Linked DNA regions of Struthio camelus. The protein of the gene in region 2 binds, or shares a complex with, the protein of the main gene of each other region. Links are inferred from orthologs where the notes say so. Each region holds a gene or a part of one and is shown on either strand. Other genes may lie near its edges.

The links.
Region 1: VPS39 (region 2) and VPS41 share a complex: the UniProt entries of both Homo sapiens proteins name them as parts of the homotypic fusion and vacuole protein sorting (HOPS) complex. The link is inferred for Struthio camelus from reciprocal best matches to the Homo sapiens genes VPS39 and VPS41.

The regions. Positions count from the first base shown.
Region 1 is NC_090943.1:57,831,262-57,842,374, reverse strand, and holds the start of VPS41 (vacuolar protein sorting-associated protein 41 homolog), read left to right. Parts: upstream 1-5,951; 5' UTR 5,952-6,000; coding exon 6,001-6,021; intron 6,022-10,663; exon of another isoform or gene 10,664-10,678; coding exon of another isoform or gene 10,679-10,690; intron 10,691-10,779; coding exon 10,780-10,818; intron 10,819-11,113. UniProt on the Homo sapiens protein: Plays a role in vesicle-mediated protein trafficking to lysosomal compartments including the endocytic membrane transport and autophagic pathways. Acts as a component of the HOPS endosomal tethering complex.
Region 2 is NC_090946.1:42,487,232-42,498,072, reverse strand, and holds the start of VPS39 (vam6/Vps39-like protein), read left to right. Parts: upstream 1-5,800; 5' UTR 5,801-5,990; coding exon 5,991-6,063; intron 6,064-6,233; exon of another isoform or gene 6,234-6,617; intron 6,618-7,560; coding exon 7,561-7,626; intron 7,627-8,940; coding exon 8,941-9,005; intron 9,006-9,822; coding exon 9,823-9,865; intron 9,866-10,841. Other genes in the region: TMEM87A (transmembrane protein 87A), read left to right, coding at 1,061-1,102. UniProt on the Homo sapiens protein: Regulator of TGF-beta/activin signaling, inhibiting SMAD3- and activating SMAD2-dependent transcription.

The DNA.
Region 1 (11,113 bases), on a different chromosome or scaffold from region 2:
GTGTTTTCTTTGATGAAAATGCTCAAATTATATTTCTGTATGACAATGGAATATTGTTCTTATTAGAAACAAACACTAATGCTGCTTTAAAAAGATGAAAATAATGAATAAACAGCTAGGAGAATATATAAGTGATAAGTGAGATTTATTAAAGGAATATGTAGGACCTCACAACAAGAGAACAAACACCAAAATATCCTCATGAAAGTAGTGAAAACATCTATTATATGTTTATATCTCTAGACTTTCATTTTTTATAATTTGCTTCAAAGAGAAAAATTCAATGGCAATAATTTTAAATTAAAGCTAGAAATCACAAGTATATAGATTACGGGAAATAGAAAAAATAAGTCAACAGTAGAAGAATTAAAGACAATAAAAAGGAATGTTTTAATTCTATTAGGAAAGAGAAGGAATCCTAAAAAGAAATGACAGAAAGAAACGGTAGAATTATTCACAATAATAAAATAAACGCAAAAGCGTTCAGTATTTTGCATTAGTTTAATACCGAGTCATGTCCTGATGGATGCAATTCAGGAAAGACGGTAATATACTGGGATGTAGAGCAGACAACATCCACAGAGATGACTGGCAGAACATAAAACATCTTTTATGAATGACTCAGTGAAATCTTTATATTTAATTTAACAAATAACAATTAAGAAGTGACTTCATGTTAGGCTACAAGAACTCACATGGGGAACAGAAATTTGATAATACAGGACTCTAAAGTTGCAAGATAGAAGATGACATAATGGACATAATGAAGTGGTTCAAAGCAAAAGTTACATAAATTTAAACTTGAAGTAGAGGTAATGAAGAATTGTTATGCTAGTCCTGCAATACTAGATGTAAGCAGTACTCCTCAAAACTGGAGGAGATTATAGAAGATCAGTTTGAAGCAGAAAAAAGGAGAGAATTTCTTTAAGCAGAAGGAAGAGAATTTCTGTGATTCACTGCCTCAGGAGACTGTGGAGGGAAGCAGTATTAGCAGGTTCAAAAGAGAGAAACTCATCAACAGTGAGTTCATTAACAGATACTAAAAAGAGCAGTCAGGGCAAGAGCCTTCTAATGTGCCTAGTTCCAAGCAAGCAGATGCTGGGTGATGCAGGAGGAGCAAAAAAGCATCTCTTATTGCTATGAATGGAGACCAAGTACTGGCCTAGATGGATTATCGTTCTGACCCACTAAGATGTTTCTTTTACATTCTTTATTTTTTCTAGCAGTAAGTATAATTGCCCTTGAAATGACTTATCAAAGCTGCAGGGAGTTCTATGTAATTGGTACTATTATGTCAAGGTTAGAAAGTTTTTGTAAAAAACTGACACAAAGAGGAATTAATTCAAGTAAACCTCATGGCCCATGTTAGGGAGGAGTTCAGATTAAATCACAATGCTATTCCCTTCTGGCTTCATAATCTATAGATCTATGAAATTATCTTCGAGTAAAATAATTTTTCAGCCTCAGACTTGCTCCATCTTTCCCAGGTCCTTAATATTTTTAACTACAAGGTTTTCAAAAGGGTCCCTTACTACCTCTTCCTTTATATATAGCCTTTGTTTATCTTTAATAAATGGATAATTGTACAGGCTTTATGATGTTCACTGTGCTTCACTCTTTTTCATTTCTGTGTGCTCTACCCTGCACAAGAAGGTATCTTTCAATAAAGATTGCCTGAAAATGGAGAACGGAGCAGAAAGGGAGTGAGGGTTAGAGGAAGAAAGAAGAGACTTAGGGAAAACACTATTCCTCAAGGAACTGAAGATAATTTGAGTATAATTTTGAAAAGTCTTAAAATGCCAGGGAACACAGAACAACTATTTTAAAGAATTTGTAATAATCTTTCTGATATTCTTATTGCTCTAATTTTCATAAAATGGCTGATCATTTAAACTTAATTTAAATGTGCTGCAATGGTGGGACAGAGCAGTAATGAGTACTTCCATTTCTTCCCTTTTTGGTGATATGACAATTTACATGGAAGTAAACTTTACAGTTAGTATGATGCTCATACAGTACTACATGTTTAACCAAAAAATATTTATTTATACTTGTTAATGACAATCCTACAAAGACTCACACATGAGCTTAGCTTTAAGAGCATGATTAGCCCCACAGTTTATCTGTTCATGATAGACAAAGATATTTATATGCATAGGACTTTGAAAAATTAAGGCTTTTCTACTCGTGACGGATAATATCTGCCCCAGGAATACTTGTAAAGCTTTCCTACTCGTGACTGATAATATCTGCCTTGGGAATACTTCTATTGAAGAGAACGACAGCAACTGGGAAGAAAAGTATCCCTACATTTGCAAGACATTTGCCTAATCTTGCTTCAAGACATTAAAGCATATATATTTAATGTTCTGATTTATAATTGAAAGAGTTTTCATATTCATTGTTCAGATACTTCTTTCAAGAGGAAGTGTCATAAAATAAAGGTTAAAAGTGAACTAAGAAGAAAAAAGTAAACATTTGCAAAACAATATAATGCTAACAGGTGGAATAGGATCTTTTTATAAAAGTATGGAATTCCTGAACATATTCAAGGTTACATGCATGGAAGCTATGGTGCAAACTGAAAGTATGTTCACAAAAATAATTCTTTGATAGCAAGTGAAAAAAGAAAAGCCTTTGCAAGTTTCTTTCTACAAACAAACAAACAGAAAGAGGAAAGCCTTTGAACTTCCATTGTTCTGACAACAATATCAGCTAGGTTTTATCCAGCACAGTGTTTTTAAATGCTATTAACTTACAGACTACACCATGTTTTTTTTACTGAATAAGTGGTGGTGAGAGTGGAGAGAGATAACCCAGCTGAATATTTTTTTGGATGAATCAGTCCTACTTGAAAGCAACTGAGAGCTCTTGGAGCCTGAAATACAATAATCTCTACCAAATGGCATTGATACTTGCTACTTGTTATGTTTCACACTAGTCAGAAAGAGTGTTAAAGAAAGTGAGATAGAAATTCTAGCAGTATTTGGAATCTGGATGTTGGTCAAGGTCCAAATTTCAATGATAATTCTGGTTTCTACAGCAAAAGATAAATTTAAAACTCCTGACACACTTTTGAATTTTATAAAGCTGGAAGTCCAGCATTCCAAATATGGGGGTATCAGCATCCTTTTATCAGAGCTCTGAAGAATTCCCATTAACTGGAAGCTCTGCATTAAAATAGGTACTGTGAACATTGAAAGTGTTGTGGTAAAGCTAAAATCTTTATTTTAAAGTCTTATTAGGTTACTTATTTTCAGTGAACTACATGAAAAACATACTGCCAGACTATTAATTGAGATGCGTCTGGGCCAAAACTCTATACCTAAACTTCAAAGTATTCATAATCTTACTAGCAGTCCCAAACATCTCTTGACTTGTCCAACTGACTTAACCAAAACTTCAGATCTATGTGCTGACAAACAACGAAAGATAATATTTTTTACTGTTAGGATAGAACATTCACTTCCCTTAGGCAGTGCTGCATTTTCTACTTATGCTGAACTATGCTTAAGCATTTTATCTCCACAGGTTGACTGTGATATTCTCAGGCATGAGTCTGCAGGATGCTGAGTGCTTTGTGGGAGGTGCTGAAAGATTTTAAATCCCATTGACGCCATTGGTACTTGATGGCTCTCAGCACTTTGTGGGGGAGGCGGGGGAAGAGGGGTGTCAGAATCAGAGGCTAACAAATTTTCCTGACCCAATGAAAACGTGTAATCATGGCAGATTGAATTCATACCTTAAGTCTAAACAAGAAAAAAAATATTTTTTTCTGCCAGAAATAAGTAACTTATTGCAAGTAAATCACATTGGTATACGACTTACTCTATGTGCAGTGAAAACAAGAACAGCTGTTCTTGGTTGCTCTGTTTGTAACAAATGTACCCTATTAGGTGTTATAATAGCAAAGTTTACAAGATCTGCCATCCTTTCCATTACACTCTGTTTTTCTTGGCATTTATAAAGTCTGTTATTAACAGTCATTTCAGTTTAAAAAATGCCACAAAACATCTCAGTTCAGGGGCAAAAAAACCAAAACCAAAACCATAAAGCAAAACCCCCCTAAATATTTTTTTCCTGAAAGTGGAAAAAAGCTTATCAGAGAAGGTTTCCTTTCACTAAATATACACAGTCTTCAAGTATAAGATAAGACAGCTTGTGCATTACATATTACAGGACAAATCCTGGCTACATTGATGGCAACGGTAATGTTTTCACTGATTTCAACAGGACTTCATTCCTCTGATACATGAGAATCTACTTCTGGTTCTCAATCTAAATGTACTGATAATAGCTGATACCTATTTGATCTCATTCCTTTGGTAGCTCTTTTTCCTCTTCAGCTCCTAATTGATCGCTCTTAGACAGGTCCTGGACTGAAGAAGCCAAGCTCTTTTTGTTCGGTCTTCTCCAATACGACAGACCTTAAATTTCTGTGATCCTTTTAGTAGTCTTTTGCCCCCTTTCAGTTTGAATCAATCTTTTTTTGAGCAAAGGCAACTGGAAATTTACAGTTAGTTCCAGATGAGGTCTCAACAATATCTTGTACAACAGCAGCCAAACATCTCCTTCTCTGTAGATATCCCTAGGCTTAAATAGCCAGGATTACATTTACATACCCCTCATAGTCCTTAGATGTTTGATAATAGATCAGAAATGAACGTTTTCTTGTACTATGTAATTTCCAAATGCAGTGTATTCAGGACAGTTATATCTACATGTTCTTGCACTGACATCAACTGTTAACTTTGATAGTCCTCTCTCATCCCAGTGTCAACCTCCCAGTCTATTTTTAGAGGACAGTCATATCTCTTCTCAGTAGAAATTCTGGCTATTAGTTTCTAAATGCACGACAATGATATGATACATGATTTTCATATCCATAATAATACTCTCCGCAATTAACTTTAATTGTATGTCCTTATGTCCATCCAGTTCTAGTATAATACCCTAAGATTTCTCCTTTATTGTCGGAGCTGACCTGCACTTTTTAAATTCTTGGCAGTGGTCCCATGGGTATGGACGTCGCACATTAACTGCTGCTCCACCTGAAATACGCAATAGCTCCACAGACAAAACCTGAATGATAGAAAGTATTGCCAGTTGCCTTTTAGCTTGGGTCATATTTTTAAGGTAAAAACGTAATTTGAGTGCAAACTCGGTGTTCAGATCTTAAGTTTTAAGAGAGGAAATGCAGCAGCTCTTAAGAGTTTTAGAAAGAAGCTCGGATTTTCTAAAATCCTCCGCCTGACTCTCATGTGCGTGTGAGGCCTTTCAATATTAACAAATTTGGTAAAGGTACAGAAAGAAAAGGACTGCTCCATGTCTTGCAAGAGGATCTAACTGAAATTGGAGCTGCGCTTAACCGAGGGCTGTTCAGGCAGATGCCAATAAGCAGCCGCTGCCCTGAAGAACGGACAGTCTAATACCAAAGGTGGCAACGCGCTGGGAGACGCGGGAGCTGGCTCCTGGCATCACCTACATCATCGTGGCGCTGAGGGTGCTGCTCAACTCTCGCTCACCAGGGACAATTCCGCTCTTTACCACCTCTGCCTTCTTCAGTCTTGCCAAAGGCGGGAGCTTTTGGGGGGAAGCCCAAGCTCTTGATATCGCGTGAACCTAGCTTAAAAAGGTGCTTTGCTCGCAGTTGAGGAGAGCAGTGGCGTCGGGAAATTCATGGTGTGGCCTGGAGCCCGCCCGGCCTCAGCCCTGCCGAGGCAGCGACCGAGTGGCACGGCCGTTAACCGTCGTTAACGGTCACTAACCGCCCCGCGCCGCGCCGCGCTCCCAAACCCCTGGGCAGGGGCAGGCACCTCTCCCGCACCAGCCTCACCACAGCCGCAGCTAGGCAAGACATCTCTTTCCCTCCCCCCCCCCCCCCCCCCAAAAAAAAAAAGAGGGAGGAGAACACGCCCCAGCCCTCCAAACTACATTTCCCAGAGTGCCGGCAGAGGCGCCGGCTTCCTGCCCCTCACGTGACAGCTCGCCGGGCCCGCCATGGCGGAAGCTGAGGAGAAGGTAGAGGCCGTGGGGGGGCTGTCCCGGGGGGCGAGGAGCCCCGGGGGCAGCGGGCCCTGGGGCCGGGGAGGCCTTTGGGAGCAGAGGGGTAACGGGACAGCGTGTGTGCAGGGCGATAAAGGGAGCCAGCGACGCCTCTGAGGCGTTGTAACGGCCCGGGGTGGGGTGGGGGGGGGGGCGTTGGGGGCTACGCCTGAAACTTTGCCGCGCCGGGGCGGAGGGGGATGGAGGAGGAGATGTTGGCGGCGGTGTGAGGCCGCTTCACTGCCGCCTCTGTGCGAGGGCAACCGCCTGGCGGCGGGGCCTGAGGCCTGGGGAGGCGGCGCGGCCGGTGCCGCCCGCCGCTTTCCGCGGGCGCGGAGGGCCCAACCGGTGCGCGGTTAAAATGCCGAGGTAGCTGTCCCGAGGGGTCAGTCTGGCGGGCTTTCCCCTGGAGCCGCCGGTGCGCGGTCGCGCCTTGAGGCCTGCGGGTTGGCTCCGCTGCAGTGTTGTAAGGAGTGGGACTGAATGTTGTTTTAATGTTGTACCTCGGTTTGTGCATACGTGTAGATGCACAGCGGAGACTTTAAAAGGAGGTGGGGGGGGGAGGCGGTGTTCCAAAGATCTCTGTGAAAGTATGGAAATAATTGGCTTTAAAGGCACACATTGTGTGACAGTAACGGGGGGGAAAATATTTAGCAGTTTTTGAAGTGTTCAGTCTCATTTCAGTCTCAGAAAACAGATTTTCTTTTCCCTTTAAGAATGATATCTTTCTCTGTCTTGCTCTTACCAAGCCATAGAACTGCTAAGGTGTTAGCATCATAAATTTTTTATAGGTTTGTTTGTTTATTTTTTTAAGATACCCCCTCCTATGGGACCCTTAGCAGCTAGGAGTCAGTTGTGATGGTAGGCTTTGAAATGCAACTGGTGTCTGTGTAGAGCAAGGATTAAGGAGCTAAGAGAAGAGAAGGCTTGGTCTGAAATGATTGGGAAACTCTTTTGGAGAGTGGTGCAGAAGATATGGGCAAATTAATTTCGACAGTGGAATTCTCTCCTGAGACAAAATTTGAACCGTTTGGGCTTTATTCTGTGTCCTTAGGACCCACGGTTCTCTAAAGTGATGGTCCTCATAGAACTCTCTTGCCTTAGACTAATTTCCTAAGAAAATAATAAAAGCTTGAAAAGAAGTGGCTTGCTGCTTTCAAATATTTCTTAATCTGTTTCATTACTGAATTTTTTTTTTTTTGACATAGTACTAGGCAGTATGACGTTTTTCTCTGTTGAACACCTAAATGTGGGAGAGTTCTTAAATTTTCTCAAGGAAATGGGTCTTAATTGGTATTTGGTAGATGCATCTGGTTTGCACCTTTCTTGCTGCCATGGGTTTTGTTCGGCAAGGCTGGTTTCTTTTGAGAAGGCTTGGTTGCCTGATTCAGCAAATTTTTAAATGTAGCAGCGTTCAAAAGAATTCTTAGAATAGGACCAACTCTGATGAAACTTCTTATCTTATTTAAAAAATATAAGAGATTAAAACAACCTGTGTTTTGCTCTCTTTGTGCTATGGTATAACAGTTATCTAATTCACTTGTTTATTTTGTATGTAGAATATGTCTTCCTCCACTGAAAGGAATCTATAGGTTGTGCATGGAGATAAATGATTGCATGATTTCTTTGAAATCCAGGTTTCATGATTTATTCCCCTCCCAGCAGATTATTGGCCTAAAAATATAGTTGATATTGTCTGTTTTTGTGGGGGGGGGGGGAGAAGGGAAAGCCCCATATCCATCATATTGGAAAGCTGGATTAAGAATTTATTGAGCAGTTATGTTGGATCTGCTAGCTGGGTGATTTTAACAGTCAGAGATGATTTTACATTTCTGTGGTTTTCTCATCTGTGTTCCCTTCTTCTATTCTTAGGCTTCTAGAGCAACAGCATTTGCCAGCTGACTGAAGTGTACAGTAACGCTACTGTTCATTTTCCCCCTAGAGTCTGACAGATCTACCAATCAATGGCAGTTATTCCTCATGATTTGGGAATCTGGTCACCTACTAATCCCTGATGAGGGGTTTGCTCTTCACAGTTATGAGACTACTAAGAAGTCAAAGTGGGGGATAATCACCTTGGTTCATGCATTTAAAGGAGGGGGGGGGAGGAATAACAAAATTCCAAGGCAGTCGTAACTGCAGTTTGCTACTGTAGTTTTGCCTACGGGAGTGGGACAAAAACCTTTTCATAGTAAATTGCTAGCATAGTGAGTTAGCAGTTACTTGTCTAACAGTCTAGCAGTTACCTTTCTAAACACCTTCAGCTAAATTCTTGTTCAAGGAACAAATACAGTTTATGCCTTTATTTCTGAAGCCGGGGCTCCCTTTGAACTTTTGCGTGTCATTTCTTTTAGTAAAGCATAAAGGCCTTGAAGCATTTAAAGTGTGCCTGTATGTATACGCGATTTATGAAATCTAGTGGCTGCAATTGCAGTGGCTAACAAATGTAGTAAGTAGGGATACCAGGGTATATGTTCTAGACAACAAGAAGTTCATATTTTTTGGTTCACAGAGATTTGGTTATTTGAGTCAACTTCTGGTGTGTCTTGATTTTGTAGGCCAATATTTCTCAAGTTGTTATTTGGAAGGGTGTCTTTGGAGCTTACTGCAGTCTTTGCTTTAAGTGACTCAGCTGAACGGGAAGATGGACTGGTGTAACAGCAAGAGGGTTGTTACTCCACTGTGTGTGTCAGTCTATCTTTGTGGTGTTACACAGTAACCTCACCTTGAAAATTCTTGTCCCTAGTTTTACCTACGCTTCTGTTTTGCCGAATAGCTGTAATAATTGGAAGCATGTGAAATAAAAATAAGTGATGTAGCTGCACTAGCAAGTATCAAGAGTACCAGCAGAAATGTCACTTGCAGTAGCAGCTTATTTTGTTTGGGAGTGCAGGCTAATGTTTTGTTTTTGCAAACAAATTCTTCTGTTGATAAAGAATAAACCTGCTCTAAGGTTCTTTGTTTATGTAACTTCAGACATAATCAAAAACCTTGCTAAGTTTAGGCAGAGCTCTTGGAAGAATGGGAATCATGTGGAAATAACAAAATGATAGATCCAATACCTTTGGTTTATAAAGGGCTGATTAGGCATCTGCAGGCTCTTCAGGAGTCAGAGGCAGTTCTCCTGTTAGAAATCTGGTGATGTTTTGCGTTGTACTTTGTGTGTTGTGATACCTTCACTGTTGATGTTACATCACCATGTTTTAGCTCTATCATCATTTGGTTCTTGTTGTTAAGTAGATTTTAAGATGCATAGAGATTCTATGTAATAAAATCCTCATGTCCTAAAAGGTGACCGCATCTTGTGAATGGAGACCATGAAACTGACTCGCAGCCAGTAATACTTGCAAAGTCAAACCTTAGCTTGAAGGGGTGCTAGGATTTCACTCCCTCTTCATCCTGCCTTGCCTCCCATATTTCTTCTTGCCATTCCGCAACTCGTGTCATGAATATAGGATGCATAGATAGCCCTTCTATGGGATGTATGTTTTAGAGGCAGGCCTGACCGCAGTAAATAAAGTGCGGGAAATGGATGACAGTAATTGTGGTAACACCTTTCCCTGAATTTCAAATAGAAAGTACAAATGCTGCCTTTCTTTTCCCTCATGTGTATCTCTAATCAGGTGTGAGAGTCACTGTAGGTGAACCTCTGGTAGTGCAAAGGAGACCCTTGCTTTCTGCCCTGAGGTCGTGATAAGTGCATGTTATAAACAGGGAAAATAAATAAGCTTGACAAACTAAAGATGACACTGGTCATCAGTGCCTTAAATTTTCTTCCCATTTCTCTTTATGCTGTTGGTAACTATCTCTTTTTTTTTTTGGCTTCTTTTGTGAAATTCTATACCTACTTAGCTTATTGTCCAGATATTACTTCATAAGATTTGAAACACCACCTTTTCTCATGATCATTCTTTGTTTATATCATGCGTTATTGTTAAAATGCTTACGTTCACTGTCAGCGTATTAGTTGTAACCTTTTATTGCTATTGATAACAATAAATACGTTAAGTAAATCTACATTTTGCTGACCTCTTTGAGAAGGCATTGCATCAGCAGATTTTACCAGTGGACAGTGGGAGATTAGCAGGAGTTGACTTAATTTTTTTTTATGGTACAGTAAGATTCATCATCTTGCCAGAGAGAGGTTTTAAAGGTACAGTTGCATCAAAGGCAAGAGAAAGGCGCTTTGTTTGCATTGATGTGGCATGGGAAGGAAAAAGTCATTAAACTTGCTTTCTTGATGGCTTTCTATGGAAAATGGTTTGATATTAGTTTATTTTAAGATAAGTATGTTGATAGCTGGATACCAAAGCTACTTTATAGATAACTTGAGAATGCTGTTCTGCCCTTGTGTGTCAAGGGGTGGGAAGTTGCTTTTTATGGAATTTATTAACGTTTCTGGGGGGAGGGAGAAACTTTCACTGGGACCTGACACTTTATCAGATGATGCCCTCTCTTTTAGAGGAACCAACAGTAGTATCACAGTCAACTGGTGCCACTGAGTGTCAGTGTGGCACTAGATTACAAGTATAAGCACAAATTGGCTATGAATGTAGAGGATAATCATTTCTGACATGTTCAAAATAACTCTGAACCTCTGAGCTGCTTCCGCTTTGTCTTCTGTCCCATAATAATGGTCAAAAAGGTAATTAAAAGGGGGACTATTGCTCAGTTGTTTAGGTTATATATGTACTTACTTAATTTTTCCTTTGTTCTTCTTTGTATTGTTTTCAGGAAACCAGGTCTAATGAAGAATCAACAGATGAATCTGAGGTAAGCCTCCTTAAGATACTTCATACCTGAATTAGTTTCAGTACCTAGTCCTTTGTCAGTATGGAGAGAAAAATATTACTCTCATTAGTTTGTTCTGGTGGGTGCTTATTTAGAAGTTGTTCTTGTACTATAGTAGTGAATGTTACGCTGGGGTTAAATGATATAAAGGAGCTGTGGTTTGCTATTAAAAAGCTACTTTATATTTTAAAAAAAACCACCCTATTTTAGTATAGTGAGTTGTATTGGGAGAAAAATTCAACAGCATGTACTTCTGTTTTGATCAAATGAAAATTTA
Region 2 (10,841 bases):
GTCTGTCTGTGTGTCTGTCTGTGTGTCTGTCTGTGTGTCTGTCTGTGTGTCTGTCTGTGTGTCGTGTCTCTCTCTTTTTGCATACTCAGTTGTGGTTTTACCACTCAGTTTCTCCTCTTCCCTTTGTACGTGAACTCTTAGGGGAGGGATGTTATGCTGTGGAAAAGCAGCTGAATTATGTAGCTTGGAGAATACTTTTAATTAACGTTGTGGGTAGCAGATACTCTTGGTATCATGATACCATTAGTTAATGTATCACTTGAAAAGTACTGTAATGCATTTAGAGGAAATGATAATAGCAAAGTATTTTCGAGTCTTCTGGCATAACTTTGTGTTAGTGTCAAAAAATGCACGTTGGGAATTCAGAAGGCTTTTCTGGTAACTACTTTTTAAAATGCTACACAGCAATGATGAATAGTGTAGAGGATATTGTCATAGCACTGTGGTTTTTAAATGATGGCTCTGTCCCATGTTACTAGTATTATCGTGCCCATCGCTGTTTCCCCAAGGTCTATCTCCAGATAGTGTCAGTCAACTTGCTAACAAATAACAAATTTATGCTGGAGTTAAATTGTCAGGAAGATGTAATGAGAAAGAAGGTGAATATTACAGCGCTGAAATAACTATTTGGACCCTTTATGTAGGTAGTCCTTCATATTTTTGTATCTCACAGTAGAATCCCGTGTGTAAGTGTTTGAAAGGGGAGTCCATACTAAGCTGGTATCTGGAGCAGGAGCAAACAGTACAACTCATCAGCTAGTGAGGGAAAGTTACTTTCACAGCAGTGAAAATTATGATGCATGTGAATAATACATGTGTGAATGACATGACCTCTGACCTGTAGTCCTGTGAACTAGTAACTTGTGGATGGAAACGTATACCCTTTCTTTTGGAATGGAAAGTTATACCTGCTGTGTAAGTTGGACTCCTGGCTTAAAATGCATATGAGTATGCATTTGTTGTAAATATGTGAGGCATAACCCCTTATTTCTGTATACTGTTAATATGTAGAGCCACATGACAAAACTAGGTCTTTTTTTTTTTTTTTTTTGTCTTGCAGGAAAGAATGATTACACACTTTGAAAGGTCCAAAATGGAATGAAGGAGCAGCAAATGGAGTTTTTGCTATTAGATGTGGAGACAGCTCTCTTAAAGTTGCTTGGTGGATCAAGTGCATCCTGCTGATTTGTTTCTTGATCTCAGCCTTGGGAGTTTGATGCTTTATTGGAATGAGGGCATCTTGCTGTGGAAGAAGTTCACAAAGACATTGATACACCTTTTGGAAATTTTGAATTTTCAAAGTTGCTGCAAGTTTGGATTTTTAAGCAAATGTATACTATTCTGGCACCTTCTGTAACTTTTCAAATATTTAATCTGTGAAACTAAAATTCCTAATGTCTGCTTGAGGAGTTTATATTTCAGTGTTACAATTTACTGGTCAACTGCCTGTATTGTTTTGGGGGGAGGGTGGGAACAGATAGAAATAAGCACTGGAAAAACAACCTACCCCTTTTCTGGCAGATGTCAGTGAGAGGTTTTTATAGAGCAGTTCCTATTACTGAAGGAAATAGGATGCCAGAAAGGAAATATTTGGAAAAGTTACAGTGATATGATGGGTTTTTAACAAAATCAAGTGCAATTTTATTCGTAACACTGTGTAAGAAAGATTTTCTATTTTAAATGTCACTGACCTATAGGTAACAGTTGCATAAAGCTTACATTTGTTGTGGCACATCTCATTGCCGGCAATGTGGTGGATGCCTGGAAAAATGATTTGCCCCTACCTTCCCATTGTTGCATGACCTAATAAAAAGCAAACAAAGAAACAAAAAAAAAAACCCACGCACCAACCCACTACCCACTTCTGCAAAGCTCTGCAAGTATTTGACTATTATGCTAAGCAGCTATTAACTGGATGTTTTGGCATAACTCTCTTCTCTGCACATGTAACATCTCCCATCAAAAAATTATTACTCTTCTATGAGAAGATGATGTTGCTTTGTAGAGGGAGCAACCACTGCTTACCTTACCGGACCGAAGCTTTGATGAGAGTACAGAGTGCTGGGCTATTTCTGTTCCTAGTGTCTTAGTTATCTGGCCATCCCCTTTAGGCCACTTTAGTCTTGCCTCTAAAGTAAATGATTTGGTGATGTACTTTCCTGTCCTGTGTTAGTCCCTATGGTCAAGAGGTACTCTGTTGATTTGATCATTGTGTTTCAGTCAAAGTTGCAGATTTCTATTCTGTACGTTCCGCCCCCCCCCCCCCCCTGCTTTTTAAAGGGGAAAGAACTTTGAAGTATCTTGGGTGGTTTCCTGGTTTTGTTTTAAGTTTGGCTGAGAAGGTTTCACTTGCAGTAACTTACACAGGGAAACCCATTATAGGCTGTATGACAAAGGCTCTAATTGATACAGTTCATAATCTTTACAACTGATAACTAGCAGGCAATGGCAACACAGCTTGACTTTTAGGGAGCTGTCAGACATGCTAGTTGTGGATCTTGCTGGACAGGCTTGGGGAGTCAGCTTTTCTTGTTCTTCGCCGATAGCGGATAGCTGCGATAGCTGCGTCTGCAGAAGTGTATGTGTGACTGTACTTCATTCATTCCACTGTAAAGTCTGATAGCTTAGCTCTAATTCATCAACAATTTATGCTGGAGCACTGCACTTTACAGTAGAATAGTTGAAACACAAGCGTACGTACCTTCTGTTAACTGTGCTCTGAGGGACAGCAACCTCATAGCAGAAGGGCAGAGAAAAAGCTGGGGCGTTAACACCTTAATCTGCCTCTGCAAGATTTGCGGAGCTCTCCTGCCAACCCCTTTTGGCCACAGGTAGATATTGTAGAATCTTTAATTAGGAAACATTTTGATTTTTAATTTGGTATGCTTAATTGATACAGATGAAACAAACACCCTCCATGCCTTTCTGGGGAGAAGAAATTTTGTGAAATAAAGCTACACTGAACTGACTACTTAATGCTATTTTTTTAAGTCCTCTTGATTTTTTTTTTTGAGACAAATAGAGAAAAACGTTCTCTACTGGAAGCACAAAAAAGAAGTTTGTATGTACTATTTAATAAAAGCTAGGCAAAGAGTAGAAAGACTTACTTGGTTTCTTTCCATTTCCTCACTACCTGTTCCCTTATATGAGAAATTAACCATTTTTTGTATGACTACAAAAGTCATAAGTGCTGTTATTCCTAATAGTTACATTTTCCCCCTAATAGTTACATTAAATGTGCCAATTGAGTGGATGCCTGTGTCAGCTGAAAAGCTAATATAGACTGGGCAAATCACAAATTTCTGAACAAAAGTGAAAATTTGTTTTCCTGTTACAGAACCAGGGTGACTAATTAGTTAAAGACCAAAATAAATACTGTAGATGTGGGATGCTTTCAGTCTACTAGGTTTGAGCTGTCTTCTGACTTCCTCCCTTATCGCAGGGGTGGAAACTTGCATCAGTATTAGAACTGTCCTGAATTCTATGATGGCTTGCTCTGTTATGCCTTCTGGTTATAGCTTCTTGCTCCTGTAGATAGCTGTTCTTATTTTTCCACTTGGTTGGCAGTTTCCATGTCCTTGGAAAGGAGCATCTGCTTCTTAGCGTGCAGCGGCAGGCCTGTGCTGTGACTGCCTTGTTTGCACTCCTGCGGAGAACTTGTATCAGGGATCTGTTTCCACGGTAGGAAGCAGGCTATGGCACGTGCTCAACTGCAGCCACAGTTAGGACTGCAGAAGAGGTGGCTAAAAGCAGGGAATGAGCAGCTGAGACGTGGATGGTGAACAAAGGGTACGTGTGCAAAGGCGTTGCGGTACCACAGCCTCTCCTCCGGCAGCATGCTGGGGCAGGTGTGCTGGTTCTGCTAAGGCAGTCTTTACTCTCCCCTGACTCTTGGTTTTGCTCTTAAACCTCATAGGTGTAGGGGCTCCGTGATTTAATAGGAAAGCTTAGCCATAAAATCCTGCAGGTTTATTTACCTCTGCACAGCAGAGATGACTTTAAAAGTCACATTTATACCCATTCTTTCAAAACAGGTGCTGTAATTTAAAACAAAAGGTACTGACTATTCTGAAGACCTAAAGAAGAGCGGTGAGGAAGAGGGAGAAAACATGTAACTAGTCTTCAGTCTGAGATCTGCAGAAGTTGTTAGTGATTAGAACGTGTAGAAACTGAATTTTCTTGAAGAAACTTGGCTGCTGACTTCAGACGTTATCTGTAACAACCTATCTGGGCTCTGAAGGTCTTTTAGCTCTTCTCAACTGAGATAGTGCTCCACTCACAAAAAATGTAACATGTCAGCAACTCAAATACAGAGGGACTTTTTTGGAGTTCTCTTGGCCTGATTAGTTTTGTGTGTGATTTTTTGTTTGTTTGTTTGTTTGTGAAAAGTGTGATATTACTAATGCAGTGGTAGCATATGCATGCCATACAGAAAGCTGTGAAAACAAAGTAGTAGTGTGGAAGATAACGATGTTGACTTGCTTTTCATTATGGTGCTAGATGCCTCTGCTAGAAGCGCTGAAGGAGAGACGGAGTAGTGTGTAGGGGGTCACATGATGTGGTAAAGAAATGCAACAGGCTTGATAGGCACAGAGTGAGTCAAGATCATAAGACTGGGGGTAGGAAAGGGTATTTTTGTCTTATAAATATCACAGATGTAGAGGGTGAAGTCTGTGGTTTTTTTGGCATTCTGTTCAATTAATACGGCATTTTATGTTGTATGTTAAGGGCGAGGTATGCTACTTCTACTCCTTCAAACCGGAAGAGGCCAATGCCTGGCGTGTAATTTGCAGCCTGGTAAAAATGGATTGCACCTGTTTGCTTGTAGTTATTTGGTGTAACAGAAACTTACTTTTCTCTCACTAATACCGGTGCTTTGCTCCTCTTCGTTTTGTAGGAGGTGCAGGGCAAGGAGCCCTGATGCACGCCTGAGCTGCAGCCTGCAGCTCTCTTGTCTGGGAAGGATGTGACCTGGCATGTGAGCCGTAGGGAAGCCCCGAGCAGGGAAGAAGTTGGCTAAGGGGCGCCACGCTCGCTCTCCCGCCCCTGCGCGTCGGTCTCTGGCTCGGAGCATTTTCAGTCCATTGTCCCCACGCAGCAGCTGCTGCTGGGGGAGACGCTGGCGGATGCTGCGCCTTTTGCTGCTGCTGTGGCTGCGACGGGGGCTTTTTTGGGAAGGGGCAGCATCACAAGTAAAGATTTCCTAACAAGAACGCAAGTTCGCTGGCCCTTGGCCACATGAAGGGTTTTATCTGGAAAAGGGGTTCTGTCTTTTAAAAGGGATAACGATCCTTTTGCAAACGTAATCGTACTAAAGAGAAAAGGAATGTGAAGTCACACAGATAACGGGACCGTCAAAAACAGGCATTTATTCCCTTGCAAGAGGTACGCTGATATTCTTGTCCAGTTTTCTTAGGTTGTGCCGGTCAGCTTCTGTCCTCCTCTGCACCAGCTGGCTTTCCCGTGCGCTCCAGTCTCGCGTCAGCAGCGGGCTCCGGTACCAGCCTCACTACGAGAAGGCGAAATTATCCTCTTAAAGCCTGACCCCTTCTCTGGCCGTACGCCGAGGCGACTCTTCCGTCGGGGTGAGGGCTGGGGCCGGCGGCAGCCTGGGCGACCGCACATCCCAGCCGAGCCCGGCCCCAACGCGGCGCTCCGCGGCTCCTCCCCGCCGGCGGGGGCGTGGCCTCCGGCGGCCCCACCCACCCCGCGCAGGGGGCGGGGCTTGCCCCGGGGAGGGGAGGGCTTGGGGGCGGGGCCTCGAGGCGGAAGCGGCGGCGGCGGCGGCGGCGGCGGGGCGGGACGCGGGGGCTGCCGGGAAGGGCCGGGCGCTGCGGGTCCACCGCCGGTGGTGGCGGCGGCGTTACTGCTGCTGCTTCCGCTTCCCTCGGGGCCCTCCCGCCCCGCCCGCTCTTCCCCCCGCGCCGCCGGCTGCCTCCTCCCGGTGGGTCGGTGGGCGGGTGGGCGGGAGCGGCGCCGCCGCCGCCATCATGCACGACGCCTTCGAGCATGTACCGATCCTGGAGAAGCTGCCGCTGCAGATCGACTGCCTGGCGGCCTGGGGTGAGCGCCGCGGCCGGGCCGGGCCGGGCCTCCTGCTGCCGCCGAGGGACTGCGGGAGGGGAGGGGGCGCCGGGCGGCTCCGGAGGGGGCTGCCGCGGTGCCGGGCGGCCCGGCCGGGGCGAGCTGAGAGAAACGCGGCCTGTTCGTGTCCGGGCTTTGCCGTAGGGAGCCTGCGGTGTGCTGAGGTTGCGCTTCTGGAGTCCTGGTTTTACCCTCTCTCCGCGTGTGTTAGTGGCCTGTAGATGCATCGGTTATGTTTTGGGGGCATCCGTGCCTGCAAAGGATTTGATCTGGTCTTGGTCGCTCCTGCTGTCCGCCCGCTCCTCTGTCCGCGCCGATACAGCTTCGCAAGCGGCCCGAGCAGTGTCCAGCAGATGTAGTGTCGTGGAAGAAAATGAGTAATTAAAAAAATCCTAGACTCTCTGGATCGGTGACCCGTGTAATCTTTTTTTTTAAGGACGAAATTATAACTTGAGTAGTGCTGCCAAACCTAAACGTGGTCGTTCGCGCTAGACTCTGTACTAGAGAAGATGCGAGCATTGTTTGTTTCTGTGGTGAGGCCTTTATCCTTCTCTCTTTGAAAGCCCTTCTTTTGCTGAAGTAGAAAAAAGCCGAAACAGCCCGTGAAGCATACTTGCTTTAAAAAAGTTGTAATTCTGGTTCTGCAGCTTTTCTACCAAATAGTGGAGGAAAGGCCTTCCAGGAAACAAGGTTTTATTAAAATACATGTAGTTTGGTAATGAGGAAGTAGTGATGCTAGAGAGAAATGTTCTTTTATGCTTGTTTCTTATATGACCTGCATCAGGGAGGAAGAATTTCAGTCAAATTTAATGACCAAATAAAGGTACTATGACTTTTGTATGACAGATGCTATACACTGGACAAATTTGAAACCCTCAACAACAGAGTTTTTAAATTAAAAAAAAGTGTATTTTTGTAAATTCTAAATGAATCTAAATGAGTCTCCAAGCAGTTCAAGTGCAATTTAAGCAAAGCTGCCGGAATCCTTTCAGGCATTGCTACTCCTTCATAAAGACTATTATAAACAAAACAAACCTCTTAATACTCCTAACCTAATGTAATTTCTATAGTTTTTTTTTTTTTCCCCTGGCTTCCCCCCTCTCTTCCTCCCCCCTCCCCCCCCATTATGTAGCACTGTTCCTCTCTGGGAGATGGTATCTGAAGAATAGTTTATTATCTCTTTTAATTGCATGAAAGATGCAATTGCTTGTTCCTCTACCTTGCTAAGAACAAGTAGGTAATATCTAAGCTGTAGTCTCATTTTTACTGCTTGATTCCCGGATATTATCTCCCAAGAATGAAAGCTACTACTGAGCATTTCCACCAGAGAAATGATGGGAAACATGCATGTCTCGCAACATAAATCCCTATTAGGAATTTGAAGCAAGTTTCCTGGTATTTGATAAATGTAACAGAGGTGGTTAAGAGTGGTCTTTGCTGATACTGATTAGATTCTTTTCTCCCCACTCTTTGTAGAGGAATGGCTCCTCGTTGGTACCAAACAAGGGCATCTTCTCCTTTACAGGATCAAGAAAGATATAGGTAAGTTGATTTTAAGAACGGCAGAAAAAGGCAGTGGTATTTTTATTTCATGCGCTTTAGAGGTTATAGTGACATTAACACAAATGTTTAATTGCTAATTTTTTCATGCCTAGAGTTTGATATTGTGTGGGATCTTTAGTGGAAGTGTACATACTGTTTATCAGATGTATAAGAAAGATGGCAAGTAATATCTGCCTACCTTCTATCTTTAAATATGTTTTATATTAGGTCTCCATACAGTAAGTTGGTTTAGTTTTTGTGACTGCAATACTTGTAGAGAAATGCAGACAAAAGCAGTGCGCTGTACTAGTTGTCAGAGATCTGATGCTTGTCATCTGTTACTGATCTACTAATCCAGTCTTTCATTTAAGAGCTTTATTCACTGGTGTTACAGGATGGGGGAGGGGGAACCCCCCTAACTAGTTCTATGATACATGTACTCTTCTACTTGCCTCTTGGACAGTCGGTCAGTTCTTAGTCTGTTCTGGAGATGCCACAAAGAGCACTATTATATTTTTAGATTTAGTTATAACTGGCTTTCACTAAACAGGTCTCTATTTCACGTTATCTGTTGTTGTGTAGAAACCCGTGTTATTAAACACGCTAATGTAGTATTACGTACGATAGCAAAGGAGAAAAAAATCTGTTCCCAAGTGCATCAGCTTTTGGAAGGATGTTTATGTGTAGCTACTTGGGTTTTTGAGACTGAATTCAGCTTGCTTTTTCCGAAACTTGTAGGCCATCTATTCCGATGAGAACGTGTTAGTCCTGAGTCGTTAGTGTTTTATCTCACATGGTAAATTTCTCCCCCTTTTTTGCATCAGTGCCAGGAGAGGTTATGTCATCAGAAAGTGTCTGTAAGTCTTTATCCCTAAAACTCCTTTTAAACCCTTGTGGTGCAGTGTTTATTTCTTGTCTACTTTGCAGTGATGTGTTCCCTAGCAATTTAAATTGCTGACATTTGAGTGGTATAGATAAAGTCTTTGGGTACCTTTGTATCTCTCGGTTTGAAAATATTTAAATAATAGATGTTGTAATCTAAAATCCCAGCAAGGCAAAAATCTTAATTGTTGATGAGGTCCTCGGATGGGTACAGGAAGTATAATTTAAATCTTTGCTTGGCTACATGGAAGACCTTCTGATGCATTTAACTGTTAAGTAAAAGATAGCACAAAGACATTAGAGTCATTCTTCTGGTGTTAAGTGATCAATTTTGATTTCATAATTCTCTGTGTTCTATTTAGTGTAAGATTTATTCAGTCATAACTTTACAGGTAACTTCAGTTAACGTGTTCTCTCAAATCTCTTTGGTAGGTTGCAATAGGTTTGAGGTGACGCTAGAGAAATCCAACAAGAACTTCTCCAAAAAGATTCAGCAGGTAGGAAATACCGGCTTCTTGATGTGGGGGAAGTTTTATTGTGTTGTCAGCCAAGAAATCTTGATATGTCAAATGTACTTCTGGCATTTGGGCTAGTTTTAACAGAAAAAAAATATCCAAAGCTATGGGTTCTTCTGGGGGCGGCACAGCCTGGTGTTTTAGTCCACTGTCTCCTCCTATAATAGGAGGAAGCTTGATTTGGCTGCTAAAGCAGAATGCTAAGAATTGGGACTTCACATTTCATTTCTGGATTTTATGGAAGTGCTTTAGTTTGCAGTAATCCTCCAGCTGCTCTGACTGGGAATATTCATAAAAAATGATGGTAGTGCTCACACCTACAGACTGTGATATATTGTTTGACTCTTGGTTATACAATGTGAATGTAATTCCTGTTAGTTGAAATTTAGAACTAAAGTAACTGTTGCTATTTTCAGTCAGGTCTTCTTACTGTTTCATTTTTGGGGAACTTTAGCTCATAATATTCATACTCAGGAAAGTACTCAAAAAAGATTATGTGCAGCCTCTTTCGGCAAGTTCCTGTATTTCCTTTAGATGTACGTTTGTACTGCTACATATTCCTTATTTCAAACTTTCTTACGAGCTTAGGTGACAAGCTCTGTGTGCTAGCTTGCAAAATTTGGGTATAAGTGAAAAGGGTTACAATGGCTGGAGAGAGAGGCAGTGCATAGATAGGTGCCTTGCTGTTTTCATTATTTTAATAGTATATAAGATTCATTGTTTTTAGACTATCTATAATCAAGCCTCAGTCAGAGGTTTGGCTTGTGAATGTAGGCTCTGATAGAACTCTTTCTTTCAGATTCATGTTGTTTCCCAATTTAAAATTCTGGTCAGTCTGTTAGGTAAGTGGAAAAAAATGTTTTAATATTTAGTGAACTCTTCTCGGTACAGTTACTTGGCTGAATGTGACACCCCTTCCACACGCCTGCATAGTGGTCTAGTTGTTGAAAAGTCATTGTCTAGGATTTGGGCTTTTTGACTTTGCAGAGGAAGCATTATGCAGCATAGACTGAGAAGCAGCTTTGCTTGTCATAAACGAGCTTGGAGAACAAAGTATTAACACTAACTTTTGTAATTTTAAAAATAATGTATGGTTTGTATGTGTGTGGGTGTTTATATGTATACACTCACACTTCCACCCTTCCCCCCTCAAACACACACATGTTTTTGTGTGGGTGTGCACTGTATGACAGAGGATAAAACTTCTATTATCCGAACTTGTTTGATGCGTGAAACTTGCTGTTGATGCATTATGCCAATGTTGGCTTATATGCGGACGGCAGTCTTTTACCATCTTGTGGAAGGTCTAAGTTTGCTTGGCTCTGACTATATTTGTTTAACCTTATGATCTTCCTATGTCTTTTTTTGCTTATGTTGCTACTCCCTTCTTTATGATCTCCAAGTCCCAGCTCTTCAGACTCCAGCATGTGTAGATTGCTGCTGCCTGCGTCCTCGTGCGTACAAAAACTTGACCACAGCCCTCTCCACTTGCGACTGTTTGCTTCCTACTAATTTCAGGAGCCAGTTCAAAATGGTCTTTGTTCATACAGTTTTCCATCGTGAACTTGCTCTGCTCTGGTTTGCCTGCTGTCCCTTTTACTCCTACTTCCTCTGCTTGGTTAGCACCTGTTCTCAATTTCTTCATGTAATTTGCCAAAGCTGGTTTTAGTCCTCTCTTCGGTGTTTATCATCATGTATTCTTGTGCGTCAGCACTCATTTTTCAGTTGTCGGAAAAACATTCCTTTTCCTTTCTTGCAACTCTGATTTTCTCTCACAAGTTCTTTTGCTGTAAACTGTGATAACTTGTGTGAATAACA